Linked DNA regions of Xenopus tropicalis. The protein of the gene in region 2 purifies or fractionates together with the protein of the main gene of each other region. This does not show direct contact. Links are inferred from orthologs where the notes say so. Each region holds a gene or a part of one and is shown on either strand. Other genes may lie near its edges.

The links.
Region 1: the proteins of rrm1 (region 2) and rrm2b purify together in Homo sapiens (affinity purification with western blotting; 3 studies listed by BioGRID and IntAct, counting the BioPlex papers as one, with this or other methods). This does not show direct contact. The link is inferred for Xenopus tropicalis from reciprocal best matches to the Homo sapiens genes RRM1 and RRM2B.

Annotation. Positions count from the first base shown.
Region 1 is NC_030682.2:131,289,846-131,293,655, forward strand, and holds part of rrm2b (ribonucleoside-diphosphate reductase subunit M2 B), read right to left. Parts: intron 2,129-3,810; coding exon 2,034-2,128; intron 1,415-2,033; coding exon 1,281-1,414; intron 1,018-1,280; coding exon 913-1,017; intron 74-912; coding exon 1-73.
Region 2 is NC_030678.2:178,116,250-178,120,650, forward strand, and holds the start of rrm1 (ribonucleoside-diphosphate reductase large subunit), read right to left. Parts: upstream 2,873-4,401; 5' UTR 2,803-2,872; exon of another isoform or gene 2,771-2,802; 5' UTR 2,685-2,770; coding exon 2,666-2,684; intron 1-2,665. UniProt on the Homo sapiens protein: Provides the precursors necessary for DNA synthesis. Catalyzes the biosynthesis of deoxyribonucleotides from the corresponding ribonucleotides.

The DNA.
Region 1 (3,810 bases), on a different chromosome or scaffold from region 2:
ACTCAATGTAAGTCTTCATTAAGGTACAGTTCATCCCGATGAGACTCACTGGCAAGGCTTCCGTCAGGAACTCCTGTGGGGTTAAATATAGAAAATATGTGTAACACCCTGCAAGGATCAGTTGGTACCTCCCCGCTAGCCCTGCTTATGAACAAAAGGAACAGGGAGGGCGCATTAAATAAAAATATGTACCATACATAGACATTGTTTCCGATCTGGGAGTATAGACTGTTCTGGGTGTATCATTTGGATATTAGAAATTTTAGGTGCTGCAAACCAACATAACTAAAAATTCCAATATCCAAATGATACACCTACGACAATCTATTTCCTGCCCTCTCTGCCCTTCTAACATCTAGATCCCAGCCATCAGGGGCCCAAGCAGCTGCCTTATTTACTTCAGCTTTGTACTGTATGGTGGGCAATGAGGCCAATGCCAGGGGCCAATCTGTACGGTGCCAATAAGTACGTTCCACGGACAGATCACAAACTCCAGACCACAGATGTAAAGCTGGCCATACACTTCAGATTTTAGTCTTCTTGCGATGAACGTTTGGATATCAATCGTAGGTTTAAACATTTACTAAAAAATTACTGAAACTGTAGGATAAAGCCCTCAAAATAACAAATCGGAGCATGTTCTGAACATGAAATAGTTGGCAGAATCGTATGAAAGTGACTTCATGGAAATGCATTGTAGGTCCCCCAAGGCAATCGTCAGATACACGTGCACAGATTTTACGTGCACAGATTTTATCGTTATCTGACGAAAGTTTCCAATCTAGTCATTCGACTAAAAGACTTATTGCCACGGTACGAAAATTATTGGGATGATTCGGAGCCCACACAGAGCCCACATACGCTCTAAAAATTGTATGAAACTATTTTATTGGTGGCCAGTTTATGGCTTACCTGCTCAATTCTGACTGCATTAACAATAATCTCAGTGACTCGCTCTTCTGTAGGCTTCTTAACCAAGTAATGGAACATCAGGCAGGCAAAGTCAGTGTGGAGACCCTGGAAATAGTCACAAAAGGAAAAAAAATTGTGGTTGAAGAATTACATAAGTACATATAAAACTCATTATTCTAAGTACAAACGGGTTGAAGATAAGCATTACTTAATCATAAAATGATCTTGACCGTGGCCCTCAAGGCCAAAGCTAGGGCCTTTGAGATGTTGTTGAACCTCCCATGTCAGCCCCATCTCAGGTTCCCTACCCCCAAGGTCACCTGATCCCTGTGGCACCTATTCATTATACTTCTCAGGAGAGATCTTACCTCATCTCTACTGATCAGCTCATTGGAGAAGGTGAGTCCAGGCATGAGTCCCCGTTTCTTTAGCCAGAAAATAGCAGCAAAGGATCCAGAGAAGAATATTCCTTCTACTGCAGCGAATGCCACCACTCTCTCTCCTGGGAAATGAAGAAATGTTAATAGAAGTCATAAATAGCTGTGTTTCCCCCTGAAAACTTTTGGTTCTTTGACGCATGTGATATACCAGAGACCCCCAGCCTGTACGTCTGACTATTCTCCAACTGCAGAACATCTTTTCCAAACTTAAGTAAACACCTGGGGACCTATAACAATTTGGCACAAATTATATAAAATGTAATATGCAGTATCACAAATCTGGTTTTCCTACAATTACTGTACATATGTAAAGCAAACCCTGTTTTCAGTGGCATAACCCCCTATTCAGACGGGCCCGGTGCACAGCGAACTATACCCGGATACCCAACCCCCGCCAGCATATCCTGCCTGCGTCTACCCTCCCCAGCTGCTCTACTACTTTCGTGTGGGGGGGTAAAGCTTTTCAACTATAGAGGATGCAGACCCCTCCTGTTGCCTGGGTCCCCGTGACCACCACTGCCTGTTTTAACTACCCCCAATCTGTATCACCTCTTGGCTTTCCAATCCGTGGGGCCTCTTTATGCCACCAAGCCTGGGCATTCCTATGGGTCAGCAAGTAGATTTACAATAAGTTCCACATTCTCCCTGTAAGCAGGCTCCCAATCCAAACAGCTAACTTACCAAAGGAAGCTTTCCGATCGGATATCCACCTTAGTGCCCACTGCGCTTTTTTCCTTACACAGGGCATCGTTTCTATGGCATTGAATAAAAACTCTCTGCAACAAAAAGGAAGAAATAAAATGAAAGCCTATTATTTCCAGGGGTGGAACTAGGGATAGGCATCAGAGGCAAGTGCCCAGGGCACAGAATGGGGGCAGCAGGCTCAGCTTTCTGAAGCAATCGTCCACCTGATCAACCTGCAAGGGGAAACAGAACCCAAACGCGGATGGGTAGGTGAGGCAAGGTGCCAGTACTACTCTGCCCAGCTCTGATTCTTTCATATAGTCTTCTATAAAATTGCCACATGTCACCCTTCCTGCTGACAGCTACATTTTTGCATTCAGGAGACTTGGAGAGAGCTGTGCAACAATGGCATTTTTCTTTGCACTATTTACTTCCTGCTCTGTTTAGAAACCTCCCTGCTCATCATCTTTTCTTTTTTCTCAGTGGCTTAACTACCCCATTTCAGCCATTTCAGCAACTGGCCCTTCGTATCCCCGTACTTCCACTCTAGCAGCATGACCTAGCACCCCACCAGATGTGTTCTGTCATCAATGGGGTGCAGCCATAAATAAAAGCTTCTGTATTAGTGGCAAATCCCTACGTTTCAGGGTAACTCAAGCTATGCAGTTAGGCATCTTAATTCTTCTATAAAATGAAAAGCTCACAACAAACTCGCTGTTAGGTTCCCACATGGCAATATTGGGATGTGAACTTGGTAAATGTGGTCACACTGAATGGCTATAAATGCCACTGCAGTTCAATAAAAGGAAATGTAAGCCCTTGGAACAAATCCATGTTAAATTGCACAGAGCGCTCTTCTAAACACTTTAGCAGTTTACATGTTATTTTCTAGTTTTTGAGACAGTGACATTCTCCGTGTTTTACAGAGTATTAAGTGTATATTTATCATGCTGTGTAAAAAGTGGAGTGAAGCATTACCAGTGACCTTGCTCACAGCAGCCAATCAGATGTTTTGCTTTGGATTTCTAACTGTTGAAATCTAATTGCTGATTGGTTGCCCTGGGCAACATCACCGGTGAATATACGGCCCTAAGAGTGAAATATATGTCCAGAAGGTATAAGCTGCTCACATTCCAGTCAGAGAAGGCTCTTTTTGTTTTCACTGTCAGTCTGGGGACTGCGTATTTAATCAATGGGTGAAAGTGAGAGTTCACCATTTGATGAATACACTGCTAAAAATCCCATTGGAATGAAGAGAACAAGGGTGTGTTTTTCTGCAATAAGCCAGGGGTCCCCAACCTTTCTTACTCGTGAGCCAAAGCCAAAAGACTTGGGGAGCAACACAAGCACCATAAAAGTTCATGGAGGAGCCAAATAAGGGCTGTGATTGGCTATTAGGGGCCTCTATGCACACTATCAGCTTACAGGGGCTTTATTTGGTAGGAAATCTTGTTTTTATTCAACCAAAACTTGCCCCCAAGTCAGGAATTCAAAAATAACTACCTGGTTTGGGGGCACTGAGAGCAACATCCAAGGGGTTGGTGAGCAACATGTTGCCCCTGAGCCACTGGTTGGGGATCACTGCAATAAGCTCTCAACTCTTTGATAAATCTGCCCGTTCATGTTGCTGAGGGCTCAGCACTACAGAGAATATAGTTACATAGTTACATAGTTACATAGGGTTGAAAAAAGACCTGTGTCCATCAAGTTCAACCCATCCAAGTAAACCCAGCACACCTAACCCACACCTACCAATCTATACACTCACATACAT
Region 2 (4,401 bases):
GCGGTAATGGTTACTTTAGTTAAGAGTGTATAAACAGTTCTGGTTAATTATAGGCAATTACACCTCACTACCCAATAACTTCATTTTCCACTACTCACCCCTCCACCTCCTTCTGCAGCACCCAATCCTTCCCCGGTACCCCCCCCCCCCCCATCCTGCAGCACCCAACCACTCCAATATAGCACCCCCATTCTGCAGCACCCAACCCCTCCTATACAACTCCGACCCTGCAGCACCCATCCCTTCCCGTATAGCACCCATCCTGTAGCACCCAACCCTTCCCATATAGCACCCATCCTGTAGCACCCAACCCTTCCCATATAGCACCCATCCCTACCCATATAGCACCCATCCCTACCCATATAGCACCCATCCTGTAGCACCCAACCCTTCCCATATACCCCCCATACTGCAGCACCCAACCCCTCCCAGTAACATGCCCTACAGTCAGAATTCTGCTCAGTACTGATTGGGTAATAGTTTCCCTTATGTACCGGCCACTCCCTGCAACCTGTAAGCAGCTAAATGTCTAATAGAATAAAAACTGGAGACTGTGTGGGAGGGAGAGGGTGGGGGCACAGTACGGATATACCGGCACCCAGGGGGCAAATGGGGAGCTGGATGAATGGAATGGCACAAAGGGAAGGGGGGGGCTAGAATGAACCAAGTGAGAATGGGGGGGGGGGGGGGGGGCAAGGCTACCTGGGGCACAGTGAGGAGGAGGGTAGGGCACAGGGCCCAGTTTAGAAGAATCAGCTGACGGGGGGCGTGGGGGCGCCTATATAAGGGGAGGGGGGCGCGGGGGGCCTATATAAGGGGAGGGGGGCGCGGGGGGCCTATATAAGGGGAGGGGGGCGCGGGGGGCCTATATAAGGGGAGGGGGACGCGGGGGCGCCTATATAAGGGGAGGGGGGCGCGGGGGGCCTATATAAGGGGAGGGGGACGCCTATATAAGGGGAGGGGGGCGCGGGGGCGCCTATATAAGGGGAGGGGGACGCCTATATAAGGGGAGGGGGGCGCGGGGGCGCCTATATAAGGGGAGGGGGACGCGGGGGCGCCTATATAAGGGGAGGGGGACGCGGGGGCGCCTATATAAGGGGAGGGGGACGCGGGGGCGCCTATATAAGGGGAGGGGGACGCGGGGGCGCCTATATAAGGGGAGGGGGACGCGGGGGGCCTATATAAGGGGAGGGGGGCGCGGGGGGCCTATATAAGGGGAGGGGAACGCGGGGGGGCTATATAAGGGGAGGGGGGACGCGGGGGGCCTATATAAGGGGAGGGGACGCGGGGGGCCTATATAAGGGGAGGGGGACGCGGGGGCGCCTATATAAGGGGAGGGGGACGCGGGGGGGCTATATAAGGGGAGGGGACGCGGGGGGGCTATATAAGGGGAGGGGGACGGGGGCTTGGGGGGGACGCGGGGGGGCTATATAAGGGGAGGGGGACGCGGGGGGCTATATAAGGGAGGGGGACGCGGGGGGCTATATAAGGGGAGGGGGACGCGGGGGCTATATAAGGGGAGGGCGGACGCGGGGGGCTATATAAGGGGAGGGGGACGCGGGGGGGGCTATATAAGGGGAGGGGGACGCGGGGGGCTATATAAGGGGAGGGGGGCGCGGGGGGCTATATAAGGGGAGGGGGGCGCCGGGGGGGCTATATAAGGGGAGGGGGGCGCCGGGGGGCTATATAAGGGGAGGGGGCGCGGGGGCTATATAAGGGGAGGGGCGCGGGGGGGCTATATAAGGGGGAGGGGGGACGCGGGGGGGCTATATAAGGGGAGGGGGGCGCGGGGGGGCTATATAAGGGGAGGGGGCGCGGGGGGCTATATAAGGGAGGGGGACGCGGGGGGCTGATAAAGGGGAGGGGGCGCCGGGGGCTATATAAGGGGAGGGGGACGCGGGGGGGCTATATAAGGGGAGGGGGCGCAGGGGGGCTATATAAGGGGAGGGGGACGCGGGGAGGGCCTATATAAGGGGAGGGGACGCAGGGGGGGGCTATATAAGGGGAGGGGGACGCGGGGGGGCTATATAAGGGGAGGGGGGGCGCGGGGGGCTATATAAGCGGGAGGGGGACGCGGCGGGGGGCTATATAAGGGGAGGGGGGACGCGGGGGCGCCTATATAAGGGGAGGGGGCGCGGGGGGGGCTATATAAGGGGAGGGGGGACGCGGGGGGCATATATAAGGGGAGGGGGACGCGGGGGGGGCTATATAAGGGGAGGGGGGCGCAGGGGGGCTATATAAGGGAGGGGGACGCGGGGGGGCTATATAAGGGAGGGGGGCGCCGGGGGGGCTATATAAGGGGGAGGGGGACGCGGGGGGGCTATATAAGGGGAGGGGGGACGCGGGGGCGCCTATTATAAGGGGAGGGGGGCGCGGGGGGGCTATATAAGGGGAGGGGGACGCGGGGGGCTATATAAGGGGAGGGGGACGCGGGGGGGGCTATATAAGGGGAGGGGGGCGCAGGGGGGGCTATATAAGGGGAGGGGGACAGAGTAGAAGAGGGTAAATAAACAGGCAGAGTGTATGGGGGTAAGTACAGTGACAGAAGGAAAGGGAAAAACTGGGCACTGGCATAGAGTGTGGCACAGGGACTGGGCAGGACTGGGGGCAGAACAGAAGGGGCCGGGGGGGCAGAACAGAAGGGTTATTACCCTGGGGCACTCACCTCGCTTAATGACATGCATGGTGCCGCTGGGGCTCAGGTACCGGGTCAGCTCAGACGGGAATGGGTCGCACCGGGCCGGGGGGAGGGAGCAGACAAGCGGACAGACAGACAAGCGGACAGACAGACAAGCGGACAGAGCGCTGAGACCGGAGCCCACAATCCTGTCAGGAAAAGGCGCGAAGCCCAACAAACAAATTCCGCGCCAATCCGGCCCGTGTTAGTGACGCGCAGGGGGGCGGGGCTGCGGTGTGACGCTTCCTCACAAAAACCACGCTGAACCTGCTGTGACTGACAGCCATTCCAACCAATCGTGCTACAAGGGACCCTCTAACTGACACTGAGGGGGAGGGGCTATCAACTAAACGTCAGAGAAAGGGAGGAGCTGTACGTGAGGAAGGAGCGGCGGGAAAGGCGGCGTGTAACGTGAGGGGGTAGAGAGCTGGTACCGCCGGGCAGCACTATGGTATAATAACGTCTTGTAGTTTGTTCCGCTGGGCTCTGGTATAGTGTGTGCAGGGCCGCCATCAGGAATCATGGGCCCCTCACAACAACATCTTCTGGCCCCCCTCCCACCGGTACAAAGGGACTCACGGATATGAGACATTGGTAGCCAGCAGGGCCCGCCCTAGTACATTGGTAGCCAGCAGTGCCCCCCCTAGTACATTGGTAGCCAGCAGGGCCCCCCCAATACATTGGTAGCCAGCAGGGCCCCCCCTAGTACATTGGTAGCCAGCAGGGCCCCCCCTAGTACATTGGTAGCCAGCAGGGCCCCCCCTAGTACATTGGTAGCCAGCAGGGCCCCCCTAGTACATTGGTAGCCAGCAGTGCCCCCCCTAGTACATTGGTAGCCAGCAGGGCCCCCCTAGTACATTGGTAGCCAGCAGGGCCCGCCCTAGTACATTGGTAGCCAGCAGGGCCCGCCCTAGTACATTGGTAGCCAGCAGGGCCCGCCCTAGTACATTGGTAGCCAGCAGGGCCCCCCCTAGTACATTGGTAGCCAGCAGGCCCCCCCTAGTACATTGGTAGCCAGCAGGCCCCCCCCTAGTACATTGGTAGCCAGCAGGGCCCCCCTAGTACATTGGTAGCCAGCAGGGCCCGCCCTAGTACATTGGTAGCCAGCAGGGCCCCCCAGGGCCATCAGGAATCACTGGCCCCTCACAACAACATCTTCTGGGCCCCCCCTCCCACCGGTACAAGGGACTCACAGATATGAGACATTGGTAGCCAGCAGGGCCCCCCCTAGTACATTGGTAGCCAGCAGGGCCCCCCTAGTACATTGGTAGCCAGCAGTGCCCCCCCTAGTACATTGGTAGCCAGCAGGGCCCCCCTAGTACATTGGTAGCCAGCAGGGCCCCCCCTAGTACATTGGTAGCCAGCAGGGCCCGCCCTAGTACATTGGTAGCCAGCAGGGCCCGCCCTAGTACATTGGTAGCCAGCAGGGCCCGCCCTAGTACATTGGTAGCCAGCAGGGCCCCCCCTAGTACATTGGTAGCCAGCAGGCCCCCCCCTAGTACATTGGTAGCCAGCAGGGCCCCCCTAGTACATTGGTAGCCAGCAGGGCCCGCCCTAGTACATTGGTAGCCAGCAGGGCCCCCCAGGGCCATCAGGAATCACTGGCCCCTCACAACAACATCTTCTGGGCCCCCCCTCCCACCGGTACAAGGGACTCACAGATATGAGACATTGGTAGCCAGCAGGCCCCCCTAGTACATTGGTAGCCAGCAGGCCCCCCCTAG